Schizosaccharomyces pombe: one gene and its partner. The protein of the gene in region 2 interacts with the protein of the main gene of each other region in a biochemical or structural test. Each region holds a gene or a part of one and is shown on either strand. Other genes may lie near its edges.

Evidence for each region.
Region 1: the proteins of ubc15 (region 2) and fbh1 form a complex in vitro, tested with the Schizosaccharomyces pombe proteins (one study listed by BioGRID).

Annotation. Positions count from the first base shown.
Region 1 is NC_003423.3:2,724,251-2,740,649, reverse strand, and holds fbh1 (DNA helicase I, ubiquitin ligase F-box adaptor Fbh1), read right to left. Parts: upstream 7,441-16,399; 5' UTR 7,355-7,440; coding exon 5,545-7,354; exon of another isoform or gene 5,505-5,544; coding exon 4,678-5,504; 3' UTR 4,566-4,677; downstream 1-4,565. Other genes in the region: Ras guanine nucleotide exchange factor efc25, read right to left, coding at 1-448; cdh1 (SSU rRNA dimethylase), read right to left, coding at 2,706-3,494, 3,553-3,687; SPOM_SPBC336.16 (uncharacterized protein), read left to right, coding at 7,734-7,949; SPOM_SPBC18A7.02C (seven transmembrane receptor-like protein), read left to right, coding at 8,437-8,505, 8,559-8,637, 8,689-9,914; xpa1 (X-Pro dipeptidase), read right to left, coding at 10,037-11,392; ADP-ribosylation factor-like protein Arf1, read left to right, coding at 12,737-12,787, 12,856-13,347; protein Hsp78, read left to right, coding at 15,004-16,399. UniProt on the Schizosaccharomyces pombe protein: Involved in ATP-dependent DNA-unwinding in a 3' to 5' direction, and ATP-ase activities stimulated by the single-stranded DNA-binding protein ssb1.
Region 2 is NC_003423.3:3,514,205-3,529,525, reverse strand, and holds ubc15 (ubiquitin-conjugating enzyme Ubc15), read right to left. Parts: upstream 6,757-15,321; 5' UTR 6,652-6,756; coding exon 6,607-6,651; exon of another isoform or gene 6,525-6,606; coding exon 6,381-6,524; exon of another isoform or gene 6,378-6,380; intron 6,303-6,377; coding exon 6,273-6,302; intron 6,256-6,272; exon of another isoform or gene 6,197-6,255; coding exon 5,971-6,196; exon of another isoform or gene 5,901-5,970; coding exon 5,842-5,900; 3' UTR 5,381-5,841; downstream 1-5,380. Other genes in the region: hht3 (histone H3 h3.3), read left to right, coding at 1-407; RAVE complex subunit Rav1, read right to left, coding at 845-4,651, 4,767-4,853; EMP70 family endosomal transport protein Emp70, read right to left, coding at 7,128-8,818, 8,967-9,165; TREX/TREX2 complex subunit Pci2, read left to right, coding at 9,522-9,653, 9,720-9,877, 9,925-10,422, 10,478-10,729, 10,772-11,060; pmc4 (mediator complex subunit Med4), read right to left, coding at 11,318-12,037; cell wall glucan 1,6-beta-glucosidase Exg1, read right to left, coding at 13,165-14,388. UniProt on the Schizosaccharomyces pombe protein: Catalyzes the covalent attachment of ubiquitin to other proteins. Has a role in the formation of chromatin structures that influence the localization of transcriptional silencing factors.

The DNA of each region.
Region 1 (16,399 bases), 790 kb from region 2:
GAACAGACGCTTGCATGTCTTCAAAGGGAGATGAGGGAGGAGTGAAATCGCTTACATAGCGAATTTCTGGAGAAGCTCGGGTATTTCCTTTTAAAGGAGTTAACGGTGAACGAGGTGAAGGTTGTCGTGTAAGGGAATGGGTTGAAGAGAAACGATCATCGAAGGAGCCCTTCAAATATGGAAAGGGAGAAGTCGATGATTTATCAGAGGAAGGAGTGGGTAAAGAACCAAAATAATCGGACTCGCCATTCTGATAAGAGGAACCGGCTGTGTAAGTAGAGGAAAGAGCGTAGGAATCAGACATAGTGGAGGGAGAAAGAACACTCTTGTCTGAAAATGTGGGAGAAAGAGAATACGTAGAATAACTAGGAGTACTGGGTTTGGAAACAGAAGTCTCAAAACCCTGCCTTGATTTGAGGCGTAAACGATCCAAATTTGGTCTTCTCATTGTAGCATTGACGGTCTATATTATCTATCTATTTATTTTACCTCGAGACTTTGATATAAACAAAGTATATATGTTTGCTTAATTTAAAGTCACTTTAGGGTAGACAACGGCGAGTGAGTCAGGGAATTTTAATGTTTCTGCGAGGCATATCCTCAATTTTAAAAAGAAAAACAAGTTAAATAGTAGCAGTATAAAACCAAAAAGACCCCACGCACCAAAACACCAAAAAAAAAGGGTTTTTTATGAGTATATAAGAAACAAAAAGATTTTAAAAAAAAAATGAAGCAAAAAACGAAACTAAAAAGAGAAAAGGGAAAAAAAATACACCAAACTAATGAGTACAGGGAAGAAGCATACGCAACAGAACTACGATGCCACACGAAGTCCAACTCAGAGCAAGCTAGGCTCCGTATAAATATAATTTTTAAATGGAAATAAGTTAAGGAAAAGTGTTTTCAATTGCTTTTTTTTCAATTCCAACCAACTTTTACTATTTCAACAGCCCCCTTGTTGTAGTAGGTAGTGGTTGTGAATACTCTACCACCGGCTCTACCACTTTTGTGACTTTGCGATTAGTGTACAAGCGAACAAGCTCTTTGTCACTTTTGAGATGGGAAATTTTTTTCGAGATAACAATTTGTCAATTTTTGAAAATGCCAATAACATCCGGCCGCTATATGTTTTTTATTGAAACGTGAAATGCACAGACGAACAGAATGCTTGAAGGCCAAACATATGGCATCACGCTTTTTGCCGCCTAGGTTCCCAGCAAGTGTAAACCTTTGTATGGAGGAAAACACAGGCTTCAGGTTGACGATTTATATGGATTGTGAAGGCACATTCAGTATACCACTTTCACCACTACATTTACTAGGTTAACAATTTGAAATTCCCTTTGGAAGAGAATTGGACAAAGCTGCAAAACTCCTATGTCTATCAGCGGGAAAATGGATAGGGCCCGAAGAAGTGTCGCATTTTGCTAAGCGAATCTCAAAATGGTCGATATTGGAGCAGACGGCACTAAACTTTTGATCATGGATTTAGAATGGCCGAATGAATTAGAAAGAGCGACGGAGTATACCATTCATTTGATGAATGTAATTTGGGAAGTTGTTAGGGGTGTTCGATGGGTAATGTTATTTTGGTAATGAATTTGATCATATATTTAGCAATAATTTTGACAATATTTTTTAAATAAATTTCATTGATTCTTGTAAACATTTTCTTCACTTTGTTATCTATTTAATTTGATTTTGAACATTTTACCTTTTCTTTTAAACGTTTACTTAACTTATTTTCCATTTTATTTTACGGCATTTCAATTTTTATTTATTTTATTTTCTTATTTTATTTTATTTTATTTAATTTAATTTTATTTGCTTTATTTTATTTATTTAAATTTTTTTTTTCTTTACCCGTCTTTATATATGTTTGCTCCCGCAAGTCTATTATTTATCCTTAATTATAATAAATATAAACAAATGTGCATCGTCAATTCAGTATTAATGGTAGGGCATTTGTTCCCTTGAATAGCTTGAGAATTTTTTTTGTTTTACTTCATTTAATGATTTTATTTGGATTACGCTAATGTTGCGAATGCAATTGCTTTTTTCCCTGAAGAGGCCTTTAGGGAAGAGTACGGTCGGGAAATGAACGAAATTTAATGTGACAGGTTATTAGATTAGGAGAAATGTATGTGAAACTAGGGCATATCTGTTATTTTTGTTAAATCGAAAAATGGGATTAAACTAACACTAACACTACCACTTAAGTCATTTTTATTTTATTTATTATTATTTTTTTATAATTTGATAAAAGCTTTTTTCTGAATTGATATTATTATTATTATTCCAACTTTAGGCACTGACCTTCTCATTCAGTACCTATATGGTTCCTACATTACTTTGCGTTTAGATAGTAAATACTGCTGTTATTCAATTATTACAACTATATCTGTTTTCCAACGAATTTCCTTATTTCTTACAACTCTTCTTCCACTATTTTATGTATAGATTTATTTTATCTTTTATTTTTTACTTTTTAAATTAGTATAAGCATTGATTGTATTCTTAATGTTACCATCATTTCAACCAACTGATTATATATAAACTCTTACTGCTGTTACAAACGTCCCTATTTCTATTTTAATTTTTTTATATTTTCTGTTTTTACCTAACATTCCATAAAGTTATTATCCCAAAAACCCATAAATGATCCAATATTTAACGTTTCAATGGAAAACCCCATCCTGACCCCATTAAGCAAAATGAACGCCAACCTGATGGAAGGCGTGCAACAGAGACAAAAACTCTGTTTGTCCACACTTAGAAGCTCGGGCATCTTGAAGATTGCATTGTTGTAAAACTCCGTCAATCAAAGATTTTACATCAAAGTCTTCCTCAACCATGCGTTCGTTTTGCGAACACCACGTGCGATAGTTATTTTCGACCATTTCGATAATTGAAGAGGTTTTAAAGCAAGCACCAATGGTTTTATTTTTCCTTAAAAACACAATCCGTAACAGACCATCCCATTCCTCAAAAGCCAATGGAGGGGGTGGATTTTTTGGTTCTATCCGAACAACACTTGATTCAACCAAAGGTGGTGGTCGAAAGTTATTCTTTCCAACTTTCATGATATGCTTGACGTGAGCCCACATTTGCACATTGGCGGATAATCGACAGTACAAAGGGTCACCAGGCCTTGCAACCAAGCGTAAAGCAAATTCTCTCTGGAACATAAGAATTGCCGCACGAGGAGCCGGTCTCTGCTGTAATAATTTAAATACCAATGGTGAGGAAATTTGATAAGGCGTATTAGACACGCATACATCAAAGTAAGGAAGGTCGGTCTTAATCACATCACCAAGTACCACCTGCAATTTCTTTTCCTTTGGTGTCCCTTGCACACGCTTGGTGATTTCTGCAGCCATTCGGGGGTCCATTTCAACAGCAATTACTTTACGCGCCTTCTCAAGCATCCTTACTGTCAAGTTACCAGTACCTGGTCCTACTTCCAAAACAGTATCGGATTGCTTCAAATCAGCCTATTTGTCTTATGTTAGAAAATAAACCTCGTTGAAAAATTATCGCAATTTTACCTACCTTATCCACAATTCCCTGAGCAACCAGTGGGTTTTTAAGGATATGCTGGCCAAAATCTTTGTTGAATTTGAAAACTGTATTCCTCACTTCTGCATCAGAAGCTGCATTGTTATTCCTAACCCGAATCTTTCCCATGGCTGTTCTCGTAACCAAAAGGATTTGGTACAGGGCAAAAACTAGTTTCGCAGGTTTGCAAACTGCTGCCGTTTAGTGAAGCAAATTCTTCTCAGTCGTAATCAAGTTAGCGAAGTAAGTTAATTTTTAAATGTTAACTACACAGTTTGGTATCGTTTTCAACGATATGTAGAAGTGCCGTAAGTTTTTCTTGTGACCTATCATATTGCAATACGCAGGCAATCTGAGTATAGGTATTGTATTATCTAGGTTTCAATGTTACCTATCACAAATATAGCTTATAATTGAACCTCGTTCCTCAGTTCAGTTGGAGCTCTATTTATAATATTTATAGACACTTGTCAACAAAAGGAATCTATTCATATAGACGGGTAGTCACCCGTGATTATCAACAAACGGATCTTAACTAGTATTCCAACATATGACATATAGTGACACGCAACGTAGTGTAGTATGCTGACACGCTAATAAAGGCAAACGACCTTCGGTACCTTAATTCTAATACAAACTGTTTATAACTGCGTTATATTGTTAGCAAAGCCACTTAACGAGAGTATCAAAAGTTTGTTTTTTGTTTATTTAGCGTTGCGTGGGAATTCAGATGATGGGAAGTAATTTCTTGCTTGCTAGTTTTTGAAATCATCTTTATGTATGTTTTAGGTATAAACACTTAATTGGGTCATCGACTCACTTAATAGGAATCTTTTAAAGCACAAATATAACTTGATCTTCTGTTTATTTACACGAAGGGTTATTTCCATGGCTTTCTGTGTGTAATACTACAACTACTTTTAACTCTAACATGGAAAGTGCAGCGACAGATTGATATGAGTTTACGTTTATAAGCGAAATAGTAACATAGCTCTATAATGAAAATGTCCACACGAATATACATATTATTAAATGATTATATATTAAAGGTTGTAATAGCAATAGTACATCAATCAATATGGCTAAAATAGATTTTAAAAGAAACAAATCAAATAGTTTCTACTGATCATGTACAGCAAACAATTGATTTTCAATAAATAGCATCGATCTTTTAAGCCGTTCAGATGTATTCGCAATATAGTTCTGCCAAGCGCCTGAAAGAACTCCAAAAAATATATCCCATACTGATTTCTCATTTGCTTCGACCAAAAGATTGTATCCTTCAGCAGGGGTTTCATAAAAAAAGCTAAACTTGTCAATCTGCCAGTCGACAAAAAGAGCAACTTTTCCAGGTTGCAGCTGATCTTCCGTTAAAATGCCACCAGCAAAACGAACAAGTCCGCACTCTAATGCGTATAATTTGGTTATAGTGTCATTAAGGATAAGGCGTTTTTTAGCTCGCGTAAGAGCAACATAAAGGATATTGATTTCCTCTTGCAAGTACCTCGAAGATCCAATTCGTGAAAAAGAAACACTATCAAATTTTGGTCGAAAATCATTACCCAATTGAACATTATCCCATTCAAGACCCTTAGATTGATGTGCTGTTGCCAAAATAATACCGTTGTCACCATCGTCTTTAGAGTCCATCAATCTTTTTTCACAATTGTCCAATCGGCTCAGAAAGCTTTCACTAAATAATTCGTCGGCCATATCATATACTAAAGCCAATTCGGCATCTTCTTCGGCTGAGTTTTTTACGTGCACTTCAAATTCTCCCCAAGAGGAAAAGTCTTTTAACTTTGGGTGCGAAGGGCGCTGCCCATGCGCTAGTTCTGAACCACTTCGCAAAAGTTGGAATGCTTTTTTCCTCATTGAGCCAAGAATAGCAATGGGTATCTCCTTAGGTAATGACACTGATAGCCGAATCGATTGTAGGATTAATTCTGTATACGTTAGCTTTTATCAATATAAACCATTGCAAACCTTTATTAGTGCGAAAAATAATCGTATGAGGAAAAAATCGAAACGCTCCACTAACATTGTTGGGATTACTTGCTGAAGACCAATACGCATGGTCATTTTGTACCCCTTTAAGCTTAACGTTCTCTCCCTTTAATGAAAGCAAAAAATTTGCATATTTTGCAACAGAGTTTCCAAACCGGAAACTCTTAGTAAGGCACAGTTGCTTTGTGGAAGGGTACAAATTTTCATTGAAAGCACATGCATTTGCACCACGAAAACCATAAATGCATTGGTGTGCATCCCCAACGATGACAATTCGGGCGTGTTTCTGACGATAAATAAGGTCGACCATACACGGAGTAAAATCTTGAGCCTCGTCAAAAAGAATGTAGTCATATTTTGAAAAAATATTAGGGAATTCATACAAATGTAATAATTTCATATATGCATCAGGTATGAGAGGAGCATGGGTATATTCAAAGTTTACAATAAGAGACCACAATTTTTTTGTATAAGCCAAAAGCTTCTCTTTAGAGAGTTTTGTAACTTCCAGGCTTCTTTTACTTATATGACGAAAACCAAGCTGCCAGTCAGTGGAGTGCATGAACCTATTTAATGTAAACATGATATGAGAAGCTACCAAGCTAGCGGATGGTGTACCCGGATTATTTTTCCGATTTGCCTTTGGAAATGCAACTTGCAAAGACAAAAGTGAAGCTATAGTAGAATTTGATAATTGCCGCTCAAGTTTAGCTTGCGGCAAATCGGCCTGTGCAAGTATAGCACCATAAGCAAGACCATGCATGGTGGAGCATTTGACATTAAATGGAAATCGTAATTCTGCGTCTTCTTTTGCGGCCTTGTTAAAAGCAACATATAAAATTTTATCTTTTGGACGAGACTTGGCAAATTCCAATAATGCTTTGGTTTTGCCAGTACCAGCGAATGCTTTAACTTTTAGAACCTCTCCTGGGTTTAATTGACATTCAACAATCATTTTTTGTTCAGAGGTAAGGCCCTTAGTGTTAGGTTCATCATAAGGGGATTCAATGACAGCTACAATGTTGTGAATCCTAGTACACGAAGTAATTAGTGTTTGTGAAAGTGGGTCACGATAATGTTCATAATCTGTGCGGACTACAGTAAAGATAGAGTCCAGAAAATAAGCAAATTCTATAGCGGACGTTGAAGATAGCATATAAAGCGTATTGAAAAAATACCACAAATCATCTTCAAATAGTATCCCTACGAACAAACTTAAAAGCAGATTGCTAGTAGTAGTCCTACTTTTTAGAGAAGATATAGCTTCTCGAGCTGCAGGGGAGAAAAAGCTTTGAACCTGCATGCATATTGAGCTTATCCATTCTAAAGGAACATCATCTATGTGAAAAAAAGATGCTTTAATAGAACTTCCAAGATGATCAACTGTATGAGTCTCACTGACAAGATGGTCAATAGCATGTCCAATTTGTTCCACTTTCATAGGACCCGGGGGAAGCCCACAAATATTTTTTATTTCATCTGATTTACTATAGTATTCTCTCTCAGCTGGTGTGGATGAAATTTGGGTGCCATTGACAAATCCATTCATCGCTGAGCTCGAAACACCAGCAGCATAAGAACCACGAAGCAATCGATTTCGACGAATTCGTAACTCATAATTTTTCTTTTTCCAAAAAAGGTCATTAGAAGAGTCTAAAATAGTTTGAAAGGATGGGAATACACGTATGAAACTTTGGATATCCTGAACAGAAAGAAACCTGCAGATCAATGGGATAATTTCAAGTGGCAGTCTATAAAATTTGCAGCTATGTAAATGTTGAGCACTCATATAACTAAGAATTTGCTGACTGGGTGCTTGACTGAAAAGAAAGAACAAATTGCATTAGAAGAATTGCTTGTTGGTTGGGTATGTGCAAATTTAAGAGTAGTAAAAATACCAGAACTAGTTTATGAATGAGCAACGAACATTAAAATAAATCCAATCTTTTAAAATAAAATACATTCCTTAACCTATATAATTATTTCTCTCCGAAGCATGCTGTCGTTACAGAAATACTTTAACCATCTGCAAATTGAAAGAATTCCCATAATTTCTTATGTAAAAGTAAGTTTCATTGAATAAATAATTAACTCAAAAAGACTCTATTACTTTTTGTGTTGAAAAAATCCTCTACTTTATTTTGTAAATTGTAATTTTTTATTAATTGATGTATCATTCTTATTCTCATGATTTAACTAATTATTTATATAATTATTTCTCATCAACGACCTCTTGGTTGGTTTTTATTATACTTTCTTTAGACACTATAAATGCCACGTTTAGCAATATCACTTTTGTTGATATTTTAATGGAAACCGGTTTCACCAAAAATAGAAGTTTAGACCAGACAACATGCGGTATTAAATTCGGCTTCGTCAACTAAATTTTTTTCTACACCTAGTCTATTTATTCATCAATGCTCTCAATTTATTAAATGAAACCGAATAGAAGGATAAATCCTCACAATTTTCTTTAATTGCGGAAAATACATTTTACGGTTGGTAATTTCTGGGCCGATAACAAAGAAAGAATTCACCAGTAGTCAATGATGTTGATCCTTAGCGAAATTCAGCAAGTCAAGCAAAATTGTTTATAGAAAGAAAAAATTAATTAAAATGTTGATGTCCAGGCTCGAATCAACACCTTTCTCAGCTATTTTTTGAACCTTGCTAATCGCCTAACTATAAATAAATTACTATTTATTAAGTAGTCAATAACCTCCACCAACTTCTGAATCTCAACTTTGGCAGATAATCCGTGAATCGGTTTTGGGAAAAAATATTTTGTACATTGATTTACATAACATTGGTATTTAATTTTTGTTCCCAGTCCTTCGAAGTATAAAAAATCTAATGCTCTCATCATAAACCATGAAATTACTGATATCTCTTCTATGGAGTATATTCTTTTCCATAGTTTATTCAGAAAAAACATTACTGGTAAAACAATCAGATTTCTTGCGTATCATTTGCTAACTGCGGCTTCTTGCTAGAATTTCAAGCATTATGAATTGTGCAATGGCATTTACTCGAAATCGGAATCTGGAGGGTCTTTAAATCCAGCAATTTATGGTATGTACATATCTTTTTTTACGCTTTTATTTAAAAAACTTACGACGTTAGTGAATTGGACTGAACCATGGGGTCAAGAAGATGAAGTTGAGGTTTTGATATTCAATTGGAAAGAAATCCGCAAGTTAGGTGCATTCCGTTCTGATGATCAATTCACTTACATTTGCGATTACGATGCGGTATACACGGATCACCTATGTGAAGCCGATCAACTGGGACTATATTTGTGGAACTCAACGTCAGCAAAATCCATTCGTTCTTATATAATTCCGACAAATGCTGACCCTCAAAACATTATATATGAAATCTCTCAGTCAGGTTATTATTGCATTTGGTCTCATTCGAAAAAAATGTTACCTTATCAAGCTCTTGTCAATTGGCAAAATGCGTATGGTGGGCTTCCCGCTTCTCAATTCCCTAGAATGCCTATATCTGGTGGAATCACAATCGCTTATAGTGTAATTCTTGCACTTTGGATGTTTTTCCGATTTCAATATAAACATTCGATTGTTACCGTTCAAAAGGCAATTATGTTCTTGCTAATCTTTTCGTGTGCTCAACAGGCTGTCACTTCTATTGTGTTGGATACAGAAAATTTGAGAAATCGGGGGAACTTCACATGGTTAGGAGAGACTCTGGTGTCAATTTTGTTTGCGTGTCAGTTAGTCTTGGACCTTGCGTTATTATTAATACTCTCTTGGGGATATACCCGTTATTCAACTAACATGCGTGATCGACTATTTACTGAAGCAAAAATTCCTTTAATAATTTGTTTCTTCGCTCTTTTTGTAGTTCGCTTCTTTGCAATTACCATTCAATCTATTCACCTCGGCCTTTGGTTTTGCTTTTTCTTCCTCACCGCTTGTATTTCAGCGCTATATATCTTGTTTGGTGCCTTTGTTGCGTTACCTTCAACTCTTCGCGCGTTGGTTGAACAACGGTACTATACGTTGCATAGCATCTATAAAATTTTCCGAATAATGGTATTGTGTGGTGTTGTTACCATTTTCTCATTTTCTCTAGTTGCATTGATATTTTGCTCAAACACTAATAATAACTCAACAAACAAACTCTGGAAAATACGCTGGTATTTCTTAGATGGATGGATTGATGGTGTGCATTTGACTTACTTAATTACATTATCTTCTTTATGGCGACCATCTCAGGAAAACCCCGATTTAGATCCTACAGGCCTTAGTTATCCGGTTTTAGATCCTCGTTTGGAAGAAGAGTTAGATTTATTAGAGGAAGATATCAGGGCGGATAAATCAAAATAGTTTTTTATGTTCAATTTCTTTCGTTGATGAGTTGATTTTATTTCAATTACTACTAATGTTAATAGTATGAATTAAATTATTTGATCCAATTCAGGTTACAATCACAAAAAATCACATAAATATTAAGGCTCGTAGGGACTTTTTGCCCTAAAGTTTGTTAATAGAATAGGAACATCAGATGCTAAAACAGCATCTTCAATACGAATTCCAATTTCGTCAGGTATGTAAATTCCAGGCTCAACAGTAAACACATTTCCCTTTTGTACAGGCGTACCTTTATTGGCAGGATTAAGGTAAGTTTGTTCATGCTCTTCTAATCCTAACCCGTGTCCCAATCTGTGTATAAAATACTCGCCATAACCAGCATCTTTAATTACTTTTCTGGCTGCTAGGTCAACTTCTGCACAACTTGTGTTCGATAAATGGGAAAGCATCTGGATGCCGGCCGTCTGGGCATCGTAAACCAAATTCCAAAGCTTCTCCATCCTCTCAGTCATCTTTTGGCCATGGGGAAGTACAGTTCGGGTGCAATCGCTATGATAGCCAAACAAAGTAGTACCAACATCCATCAAGACAAATTCGCTTTTTTTCAATCGACGATTCGATGGACCTCCATGTGGCATTGCTGCTCTTTCACCGAACAAAACTATCGGTGACTCTTGCACAGGCAATCCACCGTAAACAAAAAGCATGTTAATCACTTCCGCCAACTCTTTCTCCGTAATACCAGGTTTAATACACGGTTGGACAGATCGTATAGCTGCCACAGTTGCAATATTGACCCTTGACATAATATCTACCTCAGCTGGACTTTTTATTTCCCGTAAACTCGCAACACGGGGGGACACCCCAAATGTGGTAAATCCAGCATACTGTAAACCTTGTGCAATGAAATTTCGCACAGTACCATCTATCATTAACTTCAAAGGTCCTAACCGGTCATATAAAACTTGATAAGGGTTTTCGTCTTCATCCCAAGTGATGTATTTCGCATCAATGTTTTTGCCAACCAATTCTTTAGCACGTGGTAGCTCAAACTTAGGTACTAGAAAATATATTCTTGATGCCACGTCTCCTGGATAGGGTTCATCGTCTGAAAATATTATTCCCAAAAAAGGTCGCTCAGAAAGACCCCAGGAGCCAGTAGTGATATTTGCAAAATAATCCATTGAAACTGTAGGCTCCATAATTAGAGCATCCAACTTATCTTCACGAAGTGCAGCCGAAAGTCTCCGCCTACGATTGTTGAATTCTTCATGTTGTATTGAAATTGCTTCATTAATCATCGGTGGAACATAAATCATTGAGGGAACAGCGCATTGGTAAAGCCTTTGCACTGTATCTGGTTGTAACAGTGATAGGAATGATAATGCTAAAAGCGCAAAAATGAAGATGGAAATGCATGCGAAGAGACATTTCTTAAAATTTCTATTCAAAAAATCGGTACCTCGTTCAAAACTTGATTCAAAAGAAACCATTTTTGAGCAATTCTGCTGATTGAAGAGAGGTGGTGCTGAACTATATAGTATGTCAGATATTACTGACTATCAGATTACAGCATTGAGTTAACCGAAGATGCTACAATATCGTCGCTTTTGTATATATTTTTATTAAATTAAAAAGCTTTATTTCGTTTATTAGTTTTATAAAAAAAACCTATATGAGATTTGAAAATTTGGTGTATCAATTAGTTTCCTAACAAATGAAAAATTCCCCTGTCCTATTTCAATCAAAATCTTACTCTTTAATAGTTGGTCTTCAAGTCAAATATAAATACCTCAAAGGAATGTTAATCAACAATAATAAAGTAGTCGCTGTATAGTTCAATTCCAAAAATTTCAGTAAGCCCTAGTGTTTCACGTACTCATTTTAAGTTAACTTAAAAAGAGCTTTACATTTGAAAAGAAGCTTCATTTTTGCAATTGATCTCGCATGGTTTCATATGCTCTTGATGGTTATGTTTCTATTATTATTTTATAGTTTACTGCCTTGTTTAAGAGCTATAAATTGACCACTTTTTTAAATATTAAAAACATTCATGAATACTTTTCACAGTGTCATAGAATTAGAAATGAAGGTTTCATCTTACACCTCAAAATCACCTTGTTACTCAAAATAAGCTATGAAAGTGAACTTGTTGATTCGCATTCGGTTAATTCATCCTTCAATTTTGAGTTCCTGCAGCATAAGAGTGTTTAATCCTTCATTTTTAAAAGGTTTATGATCTTTTAGGTACTGTGATTTACAAAACAAATGTAACGAGTTACCTATATAATTGACGCGATAATTGATAGCCCATAGTATATAAGATAATAAAAAAAGTGAAAAATTTTAAAAAAAATTCAAAGGTTCTTTTCAGTCACGGTCATTATAAGAGAGTTGTTGTCGAAGTTAAGAAAACAGGTTGACATCCATGCTTAGACTCTTTGATTTTTAGCAAGAAGGGAATTATGGATATTTAACATACTGTAGTTTAAAAAAATAGTATCTATTTTAGATGTTAAGATCTATAATCAGTTTCACTTAATTTTTATTTACAAGTCAAACTGGTAACAGGGTGGAAGTTTGGGCTGAGGATGGGTAAAAAAAAAATACATAAATTTACAGGGAGAATTTTTATCCGAGATTTTTATTTAATAAATAAAAAATTTCAGACATGAAAGGCGAATATTTTCAAAGAAAAGCATAGGTGGTTCATTTCTGGTGATAACGGTCACCGTAATTCCAGCCATACTGCACCGCACACCACCAGATAAATTTCTTCTTCCACCAAAACCACTACCAAATAGAAAAACATTCGGTACGAAAGAATATAAGACATAATGGGTTTGAGTATTAGCAAATTGTTCCAAAGCCTCTTTGGCAAGAGGGAGGTAAGTGAAAACCTTTGAAAAGTTTGAAAAAGAAGGACTTTTATTAATAGTATCGTTTGTTTATGTAGATGCGTATTCTCATGGTTGGTCTTGATGCTGCTGGTAAAACTACGATTTTATATAAGCTCAAGCTTGGCGAAATTGTCACCACAATTCCTACCATTGGTTTCAACGTTGAAACTGTTGAGTATCGCAATATCTCTTTCACTGTATGGGATGTTGGTGGACAAGACAAGATTCGTCCCTTGTGGAGACACTATTTCCAAAACACGCAAGGTATTATCTTCGTTGTTGATTCTAATGATCGTGAACGTATTTCCGAAGCCCATGAGGAGTTACAACGTATGCTCAATGAAGATGAGCTTCGTGACGCGCTTTTGTTGGTCTTTGCCAACAAACAAGATTTGCCTAATGCTATGAATGCCGCTGAGATCACTGATAAGCTAGGACTTCATTCTCTTCGTCATCGTCAATGGTACATTCAAGCCACTTGTGCCACTAGCGGCGACGGTCTTTATGAAGGTCTTGAATGGCTTTCTACCAATCTTAAGAATCAGTAAATTTTATATACTTGTTACTTTTTCCCTGAGTTCAGTCGTCCACATGTTTAATAGCTATATTTTCTATTTCCCGTGAATTCCATTAACTATTTGTTCGAATACTTCACTGCTTCTAGAAAAGGAACTGTAACATTTTTTTTGGCGTATATCTTAATCATGTGTCTTAGATAGTTTCGGATGTTCATTACTGAATTCGCATTTGCATTTCCGTCCCGTTGCTATCTTCTAATTACTTTATGCATGAAGTAGGGATGAAGGTTGCATTTTTAACTCCCTAGTTCCTATCCTAAAGGTATGGGTTGCCAAAGTTGTAGTTCCCACTAGTCATTCGCTTGCCACTCATAAAAGCTTTGGGAGCTTTGGTCTTTGGTAATTACTTTGCATGCTATGTATCATAAGTTTTTATTGCATGCAGGGTGTCTTGAAAATTAACCGGTTTGACTTTTCTATAATGCACGTACAGTGCTCTGTTCAGTCATTGTTATTGTAACGCATACCTTTCATGGACTGCGAGCTTGAGAATTGGTAAATGGAATGGGATCTTGTGTATCTATTTGGGGGTTTATTAGTGATTCGGCTTGAATTTTGATTCAGCATATTTGATGGTTCTTGATTGATAGAGAAAAATGAACAGCTTGCTTTGCCACGAAGCGACCTTCATGAAGTTAGGCGTCCATGGCTGACTCCTCATGAAGTAGAGAAATCGTATGCACTTGTCAGCTGGTGATGCACGAGTGTTTTGCATTCCATAGTTAATGGAAGTTGGATATTCACCTTCTTTTCTTGCTAGATTTACTGTTTTGGTTGCGATTTTACCCTGAATGGTTATTATCTCTTCCTTACTCAGTAATGTTTGATGAACATTTTATAAATGCTTGCTATATGGGGCGATGCTCAGGAATTCATGTATTACACTCAATGTTTGTTGAAATAACATTATATTGACAAATTTTTAAATTGTAGCAGTATGTACCAGTAAGGATATGAATGATTTAAGTATACAATTTGCTAAACGTTTTGAATCTATCAAAAGAGTTACAGCTAACGACTTATAAATAGTCTATACCGCTGTTTCAATTAATCCCAAATAGTTTTTAATTAATAGCTTGCAAAAACGTATTCTTAAAATTAGCAATTACACAGCAAATCTGCCAATCATTCTAATCTTGTAGACATTAAGAAAGCTATTAGAATAGAAAATTATAAAAACAGAAATTGATAACAATACTTCGTTGAGAAAGGCCCTTTTTGAAATTTCTTATAAACGTCGCTTATTTACTTTCATTCTGTTCTTCTCAGTTGCTTCGTCCAAGAGCAATTCGTGCTACATATAATCTTTTACCTCATATTCTTTTATTTAACGCTATCATACGATGGATGCTAATGAATTGTAGATTCTTTGACCACAATATAGATATCGGTGATAAGGCTACTGAGTAAGAAAAATTGTCAGTTGCTCTTACTAATTTGATGCAGCTTGCAGTTTAAAAGAGCTCTTTTACGAAAAGCAACGCACGCGTTATTTGCCAACCTTAGTTAGCTCGTTATAAGAATTTGCTACTACCTTCCAGGTAATTCTTTAGTTAGCCGACACTTTATAGATTCATATATATATATATAAGCAGTAGGTAAGAAAATGAGAAGATTTCGCAAACCATGAATATTTTACCTAAGAGTATTCCGATACGAATACAATCGCTCCGTAGGTACCAAGGAAGTTTAAAAACTTCTCTTCGGGCATTGAGTACTCGACCCATTTTTGAAAAACGGCTGTTAGCTGAAACACCATTTTCTATAAGACCAAGTAATGCTTCTGTACTCATAGCTAAGAGATCTCCAAAGTTTGGATGGAAGCAAGTACGCTTTTATGCAGCAAATCCAAATGGAGGAAATTTTCGAATGGATTTAGGCGGCGGACGCAAACAAGGAGCCGCTTTGGAAGAATATGGCACAGACTTAACAGCCTTGGCTAAACAAGGAAAATTGGATCCTGTAATTGGGCGTGAAGAAGAGATTCAAAGAACCATCCAAATTCTCTCTCGACGCACAAAGAATAATCCTGCGTTAGTTGGTCCGGCTGGTGTAGGTAAAACAGCAATTATGGAGGGATTAGCCTCGCGAATCATTCGTGGAGAGGTCCCTGAGTCCATGAAGGATAAACGTGTTATTGTCCTAGATTTAGGCGCTCTCATTTCAGGAGCCAAATTTCGGGGAGATTTTGAGGAACGTTTAAAATCTGTACTGAGTGACCTGGAAGGAGCTGAAGGAAAGGTCATTTTGTTTGTTGATGAAATGCACCTTTTACTTGGCTTTGGTAAAGCTGAAGGCTCAATTGATGCCAGCAATCTATTAAAACCTGCTTTAGCCCGTGGTAAATTGCACTGTTGTGGTGCGACAACCTTGGAGGAATACAGAAAATACATCGAGAAAGACGCTGCTTTGGCAAGAAGATTTCAAGCAGTTATGGTAAATGAACCTTCTGTAGCTGACACCATCTCAATTCTTCGTGGTCTGAAAGAACGATACGAAGTTCATCATGGTGTACGTATCACTGACGATGCTTTGGTAACAGCAGCTACGTACAGCGCTAGATACATCACCGATCGATTTCTTCCCGATAAAGCCATTGATTTAGTCGATGAAGCCTGCTCCTCTCTTCGCTTACAACAAGAGTCTAAACCTGATGAATTGCGGCGTTTAGACCGTCAAATCATGACTATACAAATTGAATTGGAATCCCTTAGGAAGGAAACTGACACGACATCGGTTGAGCGACGTGAGAAATTGGAGTCCAAGCTCACTGATTTGAAGGAGGAACAAGATAAACTATCTGCGGCATGGGAAGAAGAGAGAAAGCTTTTGGACTCCATCAAGAAGGCTAAAACTGAACTTGAACAGGCTCGAATAGAGCTTGAGAGAACACAACGTGAAGGTAATTATGCCCGTGCTTCTGAGCTCCAATATGCGATTATTCCTGAATTGGAGCGTAGTGTTCCAAAGGAAGAGAAAACGCTTGAAGAAAAGAAGCCATCCATGGTACATGATTCGGTTA
Region 2 (15,321 bases):
CTCGTACTAAGCAAACTGCACGTAAATCAACTGGTGGTAAGGCTCCTCGTAAGCAACTTGCCTCTAAGGCTGCCCGTAAGGCTGCTCCCGCTACTGGTGGTGTTAAGAAGCCTCATCGTTATCGTCCCGGTACAGTCGCTCTTCGTGAAATTCGTCGTTATCAAAAGTCTACTGAACTTTTGATTCGTAAGCTACCTTTCCAACGCTTGGTCCGTGAAATCGCCCAAGATTTCAAGACTGACTTGCGTTTCCAGTCTTCTGCCATTGGTGCTCTCCAAGAAGCTGTTGAGGCCTATCTTGTCTCTCTATTTGAAGACACTAACTTGTGTGCTATTCACGGAAAGCGTGTAACTATTCAACCCAAGGATATGCAATTGGCTCGTCGTCTTCGCGGTGAACGCTCATAAGCAACTTTACCAAATTGTGGTTGCCATCTGATGGTGTGATTTGGAATCTTTTGGTCGTCTATCCCATTGTAATCCTTCCCTCATTTACTTTGCCTTTCGAAACAAAATTTAACCTTGAGTGTTGTGGAATGTAACAAACGATATGCAAGTCTAATTTTTTGTTTCCGTGAGCTGCACTATCTATTTATATTTTTGTTTTCTTTTTTCGAGTTATACCGCGGACGTTTTTATTTTCGAAATGTATAGAAATTTTTAATTCTCTCTTTACGTCCTGCGCAATTGTGTAAATGAAACGCTGAGGAACTTCATCTGTATTCTTATATGCTATTTAATAGTAAATTAATTTTTAATATCATTATTGAAACACGATAAACTAAGGGTTGACCGTATTTGATTTTTTGTAGTATTTTTAAAAACTCGTATCGATAATTAATTAATTACTCGAAGCTGAACGCAGATTCATTAAATTCGGGGACATCGTCCGGTGTTGGCCGGATATCTTGTCCCATAAGAGTTTTTCCAAGTTTGGGGGAGTCGTGAGTTTTTTCCACTGCAGACTGCTTGTCAGTTACCATATAATCCTCAGTTTCAAGATGAGCAGTTGCAGGATTTTTTTGGAATTTCCAATTACGCAAAAGCCCAAGTGCTATTAGGTCACATCCTAATTGGCAATACACATTAGCATTATGCAAAACAAATCGATATTCAAGACTTTCATCAATTTGCACGTTGCTGGATCTTAAACATTCATATAACAAAATGAAGGCAGGATCATCAGACGGAAACTTATTTCGTACGGGTTCGTTAGTACTATTTCGTTGTGAATCTTTATTTTCGTGAATTTCTTGGTCGTTTTTATCGGATGTATAAAGTTGTATAAAGTCATTATCGCTGACCAGCGAGCGAATGGGAGATACCAAACTTTGCAAGGCCTTTTTTTCCTGTTTTAAAATAGTGAAACTCCAATTGGTGAGCCATCTATCGTTTTGAGATACAGCCAAAGGAAGTACATACTCGTTTATTAGCCTCTTTAAGGTCGGACCATCGTCGCCTTCATAGACTCGAGTCATTGCGATGGCTAATGAAATGCTTTTTAAATTACGGATACATACTTTTGCGGCATCATAGCAACTATCTGCCAAAAGAAAAAATGCAGAAGCATAAAAATATCTGTGCTTGCTTAAAAGTGCAAAAGCATTCTTGGATGCAACCACTTTCCACTTCTTTTTTGAAAAGTCATTCGAAAGCAACTTAACCGTTCGAGCTGATTCCTTATGCCAACTAGCAAGACGCCAAAGATCACGAAATACATTTATTTTGTGTAGAGCAATGTGATATAAACTAACATTCTCTGGGTTCCTATCGTCAATCTCAGCGTAATGATTGCGAGACAGCTCTAAAAATACATCTTTCAGTAGCTGCTCATTTAGCCAAAACGGTATCGCATATTCTTCAACAGCATTCCATAACAATGGTTTTCCATGAAGCTTTTTAGTGTGGTCCAACAGAACAGCTTTGTTAGAGCTATGAAAAGCCCACGCCATCTCTCGGGTGGGCAAGCTTGTTAATTGACGTTGATGTTTTGATAAAACGTACTGGTTTAGCATAATGCAATATCTTTTTCCGTTGAGGTCCAATGAATCTCGCAATGCTCTTGCCTTATTGAATGCCTCGATTAAATTAAGAAGTAAAAACTGAGATGATCGAGTGAGGGTTTTGACTTTCTTTACTTTTAATAATGCAGTCAACTTCTTTATCATTTCATCAATGTATAATCCTAAATGCTTTGAGACACTGGTCTCTTCAAAATCCAATTCCGCAGGATTTAGAATTTCCGCAGAATTTTGGCTGAGACTTTTTATTAAAAGGTCTTTAGAAATTTCTTCGTCACAGCAGTAAAACTCACTGCAGTCCATATTTAAGAGAAAATGCATATCTACATCATCTTTCAAACACAAGTAAAACCTTAGCAAAATATTAGTAAATAGAAAGGGTTGGTTTCTAAGTAAAAGCTGCTGCAACAATTGAGGATGAAAAACTGGTAAAATTCCATTAAGCTGGTATGCAAGATCAAAAATATTTTTTGCGGAACGTTTCAATGATGCAGGGAACAGTAAAGACTGATCTTCGGGAAGTGAATTATCAAAATAAAAAAGTCCGTTACCAATGGCAGTAACTAAAGTCCCATTATCCAACCAAGAAGAGTCAGATATTAATGAATTTGTATATTCTAAAAGATTGTATCTACGAATACGAGACCAACATGGAATATCGTTCATATAAGATCGGCGATTTTGGCACAAAAGAATAACATCATGTAGAAAGCCAACAGCCAAGATAGAATGGGAATTGGGAGTAGAAGTCCAATCCAAGTCATTTATTGGTCCATAATCATCAAAAACAGAGGAAAATTCTTCCTTTTCAGAGAATTCTGAACTACGCGTGTCGAAAATTGAAAGTCGACGATTGTTCTCAGATACAACAGCAACTTTCTTGGATGTTGAGCCTTTGATCATAGTTGCAGATTTGATGCTAGTTTGCACTTTGGAAATTTCCGATATTTCCGCTTTATCGTCTCCCAATACTCTTGCCATCCAAGTCTGTAATAAACCGTCTTTTGATATTGATTGAAATACCTCTTGATCAAATGAAGATAAACTGCTCAAATTTAAAGTAGAAGACCAACCCATGACATCTACAGCCGATGCGATATTTAAATTCTTTGTAAAATTTACCCGATCTATAAACCGAAGTACAGCAGAACCATCATGAGCTTCGTTAGAGACACTCCAAAACCAGGCATGGCCTCCTTCCGTCAAAGCACATAGGGCGGAATTATCGTTGTTTTGAACAGGAAGAATAAAGAAGGTTATTATCGGACTAGTAGGGACTTGACGACATGTACAGAGAAGGGTTGGAGGAATTGCTTCATTGCAATGCCATAATTTTAAAGAATTTAAGTTGAGTACTGCTGCATATTCACCAGCATAAAGAGGTAATATAAAGTCAGATTCTCCAAGTAATAATCTGAACCTGCAAATTAACTGATTTTTCCCGTCTTGCGATATGTATGATTGAAACATACAGATACGATTAACATCTCGGGATACAATTCCATGACCATTAGAGGTTCTTGTTAAGCTTTTTATGGGATAATCATGTCCATAAAAATCGTAACTAACTCTTAACTCAAAGTCACTATAAAAGAAATCGGTAAGACTAAACATGTATTCACGGGCGGAATTTTGAAAAAATAAAATGATGTTATAATCGTAAAATTCGTGTTTTGAGGTCCTGTAAATAGGTATAAATCCGTCAGGTTGAAGAGCGCCTTTGGGAAAGTTCGTTGGAACTTGATTAATAAGCTCAAAAGATGACAAAGTTTCCTGGTCAATTACTAGAGAAAATATGTACAAACATTCAAAAGTAAATAGCAAAAATATATGTGGTTGTCCACTGGCCAAAGCCAGAAGCCTATTTAAAATGCGATCCTTATGCACTTGACCAGAATGGCGACTTATAGCATGTGCTAATGCTATAGTAAAATCGTCCTTATCAATAAAACAGCAGTATGGTGGTTGATCAGATTTGTAGTATTTTCTCAAGTTAAGAAAACAAGAAAGATGCATTAATTGAGAACCAAATCGGCTACCAACTTGCCAAATTCTTAGAACGTTATCATAGCCTACCGTACTCAGGAAGGGAGTCGATCCACTGGCGTCCGGATGAAGGTGTTTAGACCATTGGGAAAACCTTACGCGACAAGGATGAACAAGATAGCTGAAATCATCACATGAGCTAACTGTACCTTGAGGAGATGTTCGCTGCCAAACTTTAGCAAGTGGATTTTTTGTTTCGATAGAAGCTATAAAACAAGCATCGGAAGAAATAGTGCTACTAAGGAATGAATCCGAGATTCTGTTCTGCGACCAAACCAACCTGGGTTTGTCTTCAGAGAAATTTATAAGTTTAGTGTATGACGAAGCACAAAGCAACAGATCAAAATTGTATCCCCAAGATAGTTGAGTAATATCTTCAGAAAGCTGAGTTATATAATTGTAATGATGAGTCCATTTCAAAGAATCGGCGGGCTTATAAATATCCAAAACTTGTCCATGTGCTATTGCTAGAAACCCCGTACGTTGGTCCAAAGCCACTGCACCAATAGACTCTCCAAATTGTATATTTTGATAAGATTCGTAGTTATTTACAATAATTAATACGGTATAGCGAGTTCCAAATGTCTACCATTTAGTTAAACAATTACTTCAATTGGAAACAATACTTTGACATGCTGCTTTCGTTCTGCAGTTTAACCACTAGCAGACAAACGCATATCGTTTGCGTCCATTCACTTACTAATATTCGATTTTGGTTCCATTGTACATTGTCGTAGGCAGCTGTACGTTTTAGAGGTGTACCGGGATTTGTGAATGCCAGAGGCATGTTTACTGCAGAACGCTGTGCATGAGCTAAAATTGGATTTTTTTCGACTTGCAAATAGTTAAGGGAGAAATGACAATGATAAAAGCTATTAATATCTGATTTGACCTAATAGCTGTCTACGTTCCATATACGCATTTGAACCAGTGTGAACACCACCATACTGCGGAATAGCGTAATATTAATTGTCATTCTGAAAAGTTTAAGCATAATGCAATAAAAAAACGCTAAATGAAAAGGCAATGCTTTCACGGTTCTTAATGCAATTTTAATATTCATCTTAAATGGTTACTCTGAGTATTTAATTTTCAAACTCAACGAAGTTTCGCTAGATTCTTTAATTGGTTTGATTAATCATTGAATCAGTCATTCGGATACGTAGGAGACATTGAGCTAGTTAGTGTAAAATATAATAGACTGAGATTTATCGCTGCATTCAATGTATGTTGTGCAAAACGCGGAATTGAAACCGTCGCTGATAAAGTATGAGCGTATAAGCGAAAATAATTACTTGAATAGAAAATTTTCAATGGAAAACTATCAATTCACGAAGTATTAGCTGACGTTTGTTCAAAGAAAAAAATTCAATCGTGAAATGTAGATTTTTATTTGTTGTTTATCTAAATTATGGCTGTAATTGGTAAAGAAGTAGGATAAATCACTTGCGGTTGTAACACTTGAAAAACTTGAAAGCTTTATAATAAAAACAGAAAAGAATCAAAAGCTGTTAGTTTTAAAATGTCAACCGTTCTGCCAATATTTCATTATATGTGATAATAAATGAACAGTTTGCTAAACTTATTCAAAAAATGGGCAACGGCAATACTTCAAAGATGGCATAAAATATGCAATTCAACTTGTAAAGCTACAGACTTTTTGAGTAAGCTTTACTGCTAGTTGACTTAGGAGGTTTTCTATGCAGCGACTTGAATTTCCTTCATAGCCTTTTTTCTAAATATAGGAAATTAGGGACCTAGGTTGAACATTATCTTCAAATCATTTCAATTGACCTGCGAACAAGTCGACGAACTCTTTTCTTAAATTCTTGTGCTGGAAAAAGTTAGTACGATTTGATTATTAAAGAGTAAATTTTTTTGTTTGTAGGTTAGTATATACTCACGATTTTCTCGAAATTCCTTGGCAGCATCTATATTGGCAGGGGACTCATCATTAGGGGAAGAAAGCATGGAAATTACACTAATCAATATGGTTTCCGGAGAGTGTACCGGAAGCCAACGTTCTCCAGCATCCTCGTATCCATACTTGTCATCTCCTGGTGGGTGAAGAATCGATATGCAAACTTCGCCATTCGGATGAACATTAGGGTGCCAAATTTCCGTTGTGAACTGTTACCGTTAGAATCGTTTTTAGGCATAGACTATGTAGTTTCTATCAATTAAAAAATCAATGTATTTACTATACCTTCATCTTTGGAGGCATCAGAGGATAATCCTAATTTTTCGAGGTTAGTGACCAGCTTGTTTACCTTATACAACAAATATTATTTTTCTGTGAAACATAAATACATACTTGAGGAAACGATAATGTTGCATGGAAAAAACCACCTTCATATAATGTATCTTCTGGTCCAATGATCATAACTTCCCATTCAAAAATGGATTTATCATCGACTAAACCAACGCTAAAACCCTGTGGAGGATTTTTTTGAATTTCCTATATCTATCAGTATGTGTTCAAGAATTAAGATACTATGTACAATCATGAATATTTGGATATGAAGATTTCGTGCGCTTACCTTTAGTTGTTTTCGAAGAAGTTGTTCACTAGCAGAAGAAGGCATACTTCCGATATTTTAATAATTACGTTCTAAATATTTGGTAAACTGAGAAAAAGTAATATAAAGACAATTTTTAAAGTAGGGTTGAGCTGAAGGCGAAATACTGGTAGTTGAAAAAGGTTTGGGCGAGCTTCGTAAATATAGTTAGAGTAATATTCCTTTTTTGTATTATTTATGTAACATATAATAAAGCTTTTAACGTAGAAAACATAAATTTAATTTACTCTAAGTAAACATTTTGGTTAAGATTACAATTTTCAAATTTCTTCTATGATATAGTACCTAAGGTTTTATTACACAAAGTAAAACAAACTGTAGTTATATATTGGATGACCGAAAAAAAACGGCATATTCCTATGAAATTATTTGAATATAAAAGAGAGTGTTCTCCAAGTCATTTTGTTGATTAATAAGGTTTGTAACGGAGAAAGCTCAAATTGAACAATAAATAAAGAGGTATGTACAAATGCCTCGAATAATCAATCAATTTTAATGGACGCATAAATTTTGTTAACAAAGAGAAAGGCGCCAAAGAAACCAACCGATCCACATAAGAAAAATACCAAAACAGAAATCAGTAAACTATAGCCGAAATAAAGAACGGCAGTAGCAAGGGAAGATGATGAGATTTTAAAAAACCAGTAAAATACTGAAAATATAAATACATAGATTCCACAAAATCCAGGTGTTATGAAAGAGCGCCACCACCAGTTGTAGTTTTCGGAACACAATTGGAAATAAACAGTGATAATGGAAACCATGATACAAGTGGTTACTAAAATACCGAAGCAAAAGAACGAGAAACCGAACATGAAATACAATGGGTGAAACCATAAACTGTCAAGGATAGAAAACAATTCAATAAGGATTACGAGGAATGGTATAGATCCACCGATAATCGCACTAGGAAAACTCGAAAGCCAAATACTATGAGATGGAATTTGACGAGGGATTTGGTTTGTCCTAACAGGTGGGACGAACTCTCGAGAACGAAAGCCGATTAAAGAACCGACAAAGCTTAATGGTACAGTAAACAATAGATACAGGAAAATGAGTAGAAGCCAGCTTGAAAAGGGTACAGTTGATGATGAACTTTTACTCCAAAATACCATGTTAAAGAAAAGAGCTGCCGCAAGCATAAAACCAGGTACGACAAAAGGAGTTAACAGAAGATTTCGCTTTCTAAGCATACCTTGCATCAGTTTGTAGGATAATGCAGATACATAACCAGAAACGAAACCTGATATAATGAATAAGGCCACCGTTGCTGTAGCTAAACTTCCACGACGAGAGGGTGCAACAATGCCAAAAATTGCAAATAAAACGATACCAGAGCTCATAAAAAGAAGTTGTGCACCAGTCCCTAAAAGGATAGAAAATAGCATGGGTCTACGAGGTGGACGAAATACATCACCATGAACTAGCTTCCAACCAAAATCTTCTTGAACATCTTCTTGATCGACAAAGGCGCTATTATATTTATTAATGTCACGATTTAGCGTTCTGTACAAAATAATAGAAACCACAAAAATTAGAAATGTGTCAATAATTGCGGAATGGATAATAAAGATCCATCGAATTTGCCTAGATTCAATGTGCATATATTTGTCCCATCGGGTAGCCCATGGAGTATCGGAATATTTCCAAGAGACTGAGTAAGAGGTCACGAGAGTAAGATCAGCTCCTTCCGGTAAATACTGTGGATTTGAAGACGAAGAACAAACTGGGTTTCCATCAACTAAAGTAGACTCCTTTGAGACAGGTTTTACATAAGCACCCACAACACGGTGTTGGTCACTAGATGTCGTATGATATTCTATAACTATATCATAATGATTGAATAGAATTACTCCCTTCTCCGTATTCTTGCCTAATGGAAAGCCTGGCGATAATGAGTAGTTCTTTGAGTTAGTCCCTTCTAAATATGTTGCTACGGGCAGATTATCTATGTTCCAGTTAACAACGTAGTTTTTGGAGATTAAATCTCTAATAAAACTGACATCTGAACTGGGAATTATCGAGGCACACAAGGGAACACAATCCTGGTTTTCAAGCATTTTTATTTCAATGGGAGAGTTGTAGAGACGGTCGCCAAAAAGCACACTTCCAAGTGACTCAGATTGTTTTGCGATATTCTCTGGTCGACAGAAGTGGAAACGCTCATCGTAGTCTAAAGTGAAGTTAGTAACAAGCAAAAAAGTTCGAGAGAAAATGTTATATCCTTCATTAAATCATATTTCTATAGTGTTTTCCTAATTTAAAATTGTAAAGTTTTTAAAAAAACACATGAACCTTCATGTGAGCTATCAACCACGTACATTCATAATTAAAGATGTCAGAACCCCGTCCATCTCCAATAAATGGTGAAATGGTATTGACAGTTGTATCAATTGAAGCACCGGGAGGATAGTTTTTCGGACTTAAGGGAGTTAATTGAAAACTAAAACAGGTTTGGAGAAGAACGGAAACGAAAACAACAAAGCTAAATGAACACGAGGGAATACTAGGTAAAAGCATATTTTACTATTTCCCTAATTCTTGGCAAAGACTCGAAACAGAATCTTTTCAAACCGAGATGATTAAGACTAAATCAATATAAAGTGCTACGGTTTTGGGGATTGATGCTGGTAGCATTTAATTTGAGGAATGCTGCTGTACTCTTAGTATGTCTCTTTATTGTGCTATTAACAATCCTCGTATACCGGTTTACGACCTGCTAACTTTCGTTATTCGTATATGAGGTTCAGAACGTGAGAGTTGGAGAACATCGATGTAAGCGAAAACATATCTGTTGAGTTTTCTTGTTATAACTTATTTATCGTTACATAATAATTGAAAGTTTAGTACTAAAAGTTGCGAAGGAACAGGTTGGAATGTCCTTAAATGACTTTCTGCAAACTTTGAGTAACGCTGTTGGAGAGAAAAACTCCAATACGTTGGAGAAATGTATTATTTTAGATCCATCAGAGCCCTCGTTTCAACAGCTCAGTAAAACTCTTTTTTTGGTATGTCGCAGGCTTGCACTACAAGTAATTGTCTTCAGGTTATAACATTAACTAACCGTGATAAAGGATAGAAAGGGGAAAAATAAGTTAAACGGAACCATTCAAAAAGAATTTGGAAGAATAAGAGGTTGGAAGGAATTGGTAACTACCTATTTTGAGTACGTTGAAAATGCTGCATCTTCTCCTGATCAACGAAAATGGGAATTGTTACAAAACTTGTATAGGTAATTAAAAACTTTTTGTTTATTATTTCTCACTTTTGTTTTTCTAGTAACTTGACAACTTGCTTCTCCCATATCGATGGAGCATGGTTGTGTACAATTGTAAAACGCGTTTCAAAGCTTTATGTAAAGCTCTCCCTTCAGCTAGATACATCTACACCTACTTTAGAAGATTCTTTTGATGGTAATGGGTTCATACAGAGGAAATACGTGAGCGATGCATCTAGGAACGTCTTACGAACGTTCAATAGTATACTGAGTGATCGTCAACAAAACATTAACCCTTCGAAGAAGGATGCGATATTCTGTATTGCCAATTTACTTTGTTTACTATATTTTCGCTTAAAGCAAATTCGTCTTTGCCAAACTATTCAAGCTAATGTCATCTCTTCGGGTGCCGATATTTCTCGCGCTACAATGGCGGAATTAGTAACGTTTCGTTATTATTTAGGAAGGTGTCATCTTTATCAACGCAAAATTCATCAGGCAAAGGACCATCTACTTTTTTCGTTTCTTCAGTGCCCTGATGAGTGTTATCATCAAAAAAGGTATGTTTTATTTTACTCAAAAATAGGATTCGTTTATATTTACTAATCAAAAAAGGCTTTCTCTAATCTATCTTACAACGTGTTTACTTATATTAGGAAAATCGCCAACAAAAGGGCTATTAGAAAAATACAAATTGACTGCAGCATTCGAACCTTTAATAAAAGCTTTGAAAAGTGGTGATATCAAGTCGTTCAGATTATCTTTGGAGGACAATTCCAGGAGGAAATGGTTTATCAAACGAGGAATATATCTAACTTTATTGGATAGATGTGAAATCATCCTGTGGAGGAATTTATTTAGAAAGGTGTACGTTTGAGATTTTTTAAAATATTCGACTAATTTAAAAAGGTTTCTTTTTACTTTTGAGCAAAGCCAAAAAACCCCGCACGTATCTGGTTCTTACTTGTTAACCGCGGCCCGTTTAAGTACAAATGATAACTCATATGACATGGACGATGTCGAATGTATCTGTGTTTCTCTAATTGACCAAGGATATATTAAAGGTTATATCATTCATGCATCATCAACTTTAGTCCTTAAAAAAGACCCATCGTTCGGTTTTTCTGTAATAGAGAGCCTTATGCCCATAGCAAGGAATGATCACGCAGAAAAGGAATTTTTTCATGCTAACGCATAATTAAATGAACTCAGAAAACGTAGATTGTTCGAAAATTATACTTAAAATTAATTAAATTTGAATTGACAAATGTTAAGCAAGGAACAGTGTTCAATCATCTTGCTTTGCGAAGTCTGAAAGCTAAATAAATACAGTCTAAACGGCAAAGCGTAATTTTATTCATTTTTAAAACAAAAGGGTATTTGGTCAAAGCAAAAAACTCTATAATTAGAAAAGTAAAATACCAGATATCACTTGACAAATAACACAATTTAGAATCAAAAATCTTCTTCCATTTCTGGATCAAAAAGATCAAATCCTGCAAAGACATCCTTATTAGCTGGCGATTCTACTTCTTTATTTTCCTCTTGCGTAGTGAATGTTGGAGAGGCAGGATAATTCATTTTAGTTTTTTCTTCAACGGCTTTGTTCGCATCAATTTCTGTTTCTGTTTCCGTTGGCTCGTTCGTCTTTGGAGGCTGTTCAGAAAATAATTGGGACGCTGTAGCCGATAAATTTGGAACCATGCTAGTTGAAAACTGAAACAACAGAGTTTTTCGCATCTGGTCCTCCGATGGCCAAGGATAATGCACAGGAGCTTTTGCATCTTGACCCGTCTCGGGATTGTACCCAGGAGGTGCAGAGGAAAACTTGGAAAGTTTTCTACCATAATCAAGGAGTGTTTCAGCATTAACTTTTTGTCGTTTTCTCCCCGACACTGTTTTTGGAAGATGGGTATCATAAATTGAGGTCATTTCTCTCATGCAGTCTTGAATTTGTAAATCCAGTTCCTTATCCTGCTTCAGCAAAGAACTAATTTCATTTTGTAATTCTCTACCATTTGTGTAATTTGATATTAAAGAGTGTAAGGTTTTCAAGTGGCCTACTAATGAGGTCCAGTTTTCTATTAGTACATATTGGTCAACCTTTTCGGATGACAGTCTTAACTGTTTATTGAGACATTCTTCAATAGAATCAATGGCTCTTTGATATTCCATTGGGGAGCATATGTGATTACTATATACTAACTACTCAACAATTGCTCGATCATCTAGTAGGTCAGGTTACAGTTATTTTGCAGACTCGACTTTTTACTCCTTAAACATCCGTAACCGTTAGTTAAACAGACATCCTTAAAAGGTTTAATGTGCTAAAACACGGTAAATTACAGTAATGTCCTCCTCCACAAGGGCAATAAGTAGCAGCTGGTATATACGCTCGACGAACAATACTTAAGTTACTCTCGATTAAATAGAATTAGTCAATTTAATTCTGTATATGATTTTAATTGTTTAAATTGTCTAACAAATTTCACTAATTTGGGCAAGAAGAAAGCTATTATTCGTATAAATTAGTCGACAAACTACGTTACATTTACAGTGTAACAATTTTGATCTTGTTAGGGACAACATAATGAATACATACTAGTGAATTAGATATCTCATTAAATTAAAAAAGCGAGTTCGTTAAAGAATGCTTAATGAGCTTATTTCGTTTAATGCGTATAAAGCCTATATCAGATCAGAAAATGTGTAATATTACTTTACCAAGAAATCGCTCAATTTAAATGTAATTTTTATAAAAGTATTTTAAACATATGTCACCTGTGGCTGAGTGAAAACCTATTCTGTCGATTTGCTTTTCCGAGACTAACTCAAAGTGGTCCGTCTATGTGGCTCAATACTGACTTATAAGAGTAGAGCAGAAAATACATTTCATATAAGTAAACTGAAGATACTTGATAATTGAAAATTCAATTGGACAACTTTAAAAAGATTTCTCGGTCAACTTTCTCCAAAGTACAGCTACTGTTAATATAGAGTTCGAAAAAATATGCAATATTGAACGTAAACTATTAAGCTAAATATTAATTTAGTAGGAACTTGCTACCAAAATATTAATATCACATAACTAAAAGATTTCGAAAACAACAATATATATTAAAAACTAATGTCTAAAGATAATGCCAAACAAACAAAGACTGAATGGATAGTAGATAGCAGCACGTTAAATGATAGTAGATGATAAATGCAAGGACAGGACATGACAACGATGTGTGAGATATAAATTAGTGTTATACAGCTAGAATAGATAAAATTTTTTTTTAACTTTGATATGGCTTTGCTTAACCGCAGTAAGAGCTATATTGTCTATCAGTGAAAGGTTGAGGGAATACGCCGTATTCAATAAGTAATCCCATATCCCAAGTAGGACTTGGTCCACCAGTTTTAGCAGTCCAGTAAATCCAACCAGCACCGCGTTCAAATTGATCTAACTGAGTTTCGATAAACAGACGAACAGCTCCCTTATATTCATCCGTCCAAGTGGAAATATCACCGCTGTTTGGTCCAATAAATGTCGAAGAGTCAACTCCTTCTTCGAAAATCGTGCAGTCTGCTAAAGTTCCGGACCATTCGCCAGTAACAGTAATGTAGGGAGAGGAAGCAATGGAATCACCAATGGAGCAAACATCTGAAAGATGATCATCGAGAGTCTTTGAGCACTCATCCGACTCGTAAAGTTGATAACGATGGACATCCATAACAAGATTGTATGAAGAAGGAGATACAACACCATAATCCCAAATAGAAAGATCAACATAGGCATCGTGAATGATAGTAGCAACAGAGCTGGAAAGAGGATTGACGATATTATAGGCATCTAAATCGTATTGCTTAAGTTGATCCATATCCAGACCATAGCCCAAAGGCTCATTTACCGTCTCAATTCCAATAACCACGCTGGCATATTGAGATTGGGTATACTTATTAGCAACATAGGTAATAATGTCAAGAGTACGAGTTACAGTGTCATTTTGCTGCCATCCAATGGAACCAGTCTTACCAGAGTTTTCAAATCCATTTTGGCTGCCTGGAACACCATGCAAGTCAATCCAAACCTTAAGGCCATATTGTTCAGCCCAAGTAAGAGCTTGATCGAGCCAGTACTCTTGCCCTTGAACATATGGTTCGCCGTCTACCACATTAAAGGCCCAATACCCAATAGGAATACGCAAAACATTAACACCCCAAGAAGCTATAGTAGCGAAATCAGATTCAGTGTAGAATGAGCTATAATGAGCAGCTAATTGAGAGGCAGCTTCATCTGCACCAAGAACCTCACAAAAGCCCCATTCATCAGTGGGAGGATTCGACATACTGCTAAATTGAGTAAACAATTGTGGAGTGATCCAATTTTCCAGCACCAACCAGCCACCAATGTTTACACCACGGACTTTTTCCGAGGTATAGTCAAAAACGGGGTTATTTCGCTTGATTACATAGGAAAATGCTGTCTTGAGAAGCAATGCATGCAAGAAAAAAGAAAAAACCGATGTAAAAGAGAGCATTTTAATGATATTATAAAGAGATAGAATATAGATATAAAGAACGAATAAGAGAACGAAAAACTGTTAAGAAACCAGTTTAGTTCAATTCAAAAGCACGTCTCAAATTCTAAGAGAAAAGCAAGTGAGTGTGTATATATTTATGTGTTCTTCAAAGCAGAAGAGAGAATAGGTATAAAGAAAAGGGGTATATATATGAGCACCTTTATGGACCGCGCAATGTAAGAACAAAGGAAGTACAAAAACAGTTCCACACAAAATAGCAATGTACAATTGGACAGAGTGATTGGCCGATTCAAAAAAAAGAAGTTCCTTTTAAAAAGGATATCGATACAGACAGCAAAAAAAAAAAAAGGAAGAAAAACTGAAACTCACGATAACAATGTTAACGAAGAAAACAGATAATCGGGCTGTATGTAAAGGAAAGTGTGTAAAATAGAAAATGCAAGCGACTTCTAAAAATAAAAAGAAAGAAAAAGGTAAAGAAAGAAAAGAAAGGATATCTAAATTAGAGCTTTCGTCTTTGAATTAAACAATGGAACAAAGGAACTGGGCATGAGTATCTTTTATACCAATTTCTCAACTCACGGAGCGCTCTAGAGTATGCTACGATAAAGAAAATTTGACAACCAATCACTACCAAGTAAACAATGATCGACAAATATGGACACTTTTTGACTCCTTAATTGGCTAACCTAATGGCTGGTTTTATTGTTTACTGCTTGGATTTGCGTACTGTTTTGTTTACATTTAGGTAGCGGTTACCAGGTAGATTGGACGAGAGGTAGCAATCGACCGTTTATTGTGGCTTACCGCGTCGTTATACCGTAAACAACGCGCTGGATTCATTGTAAATAGCAACGAAGCGCTGTAAAAAGCCGACAAAACATTAGCATTTGTACACGCTCTCTACCTTCACGCCTTTGCTGCCAGGGT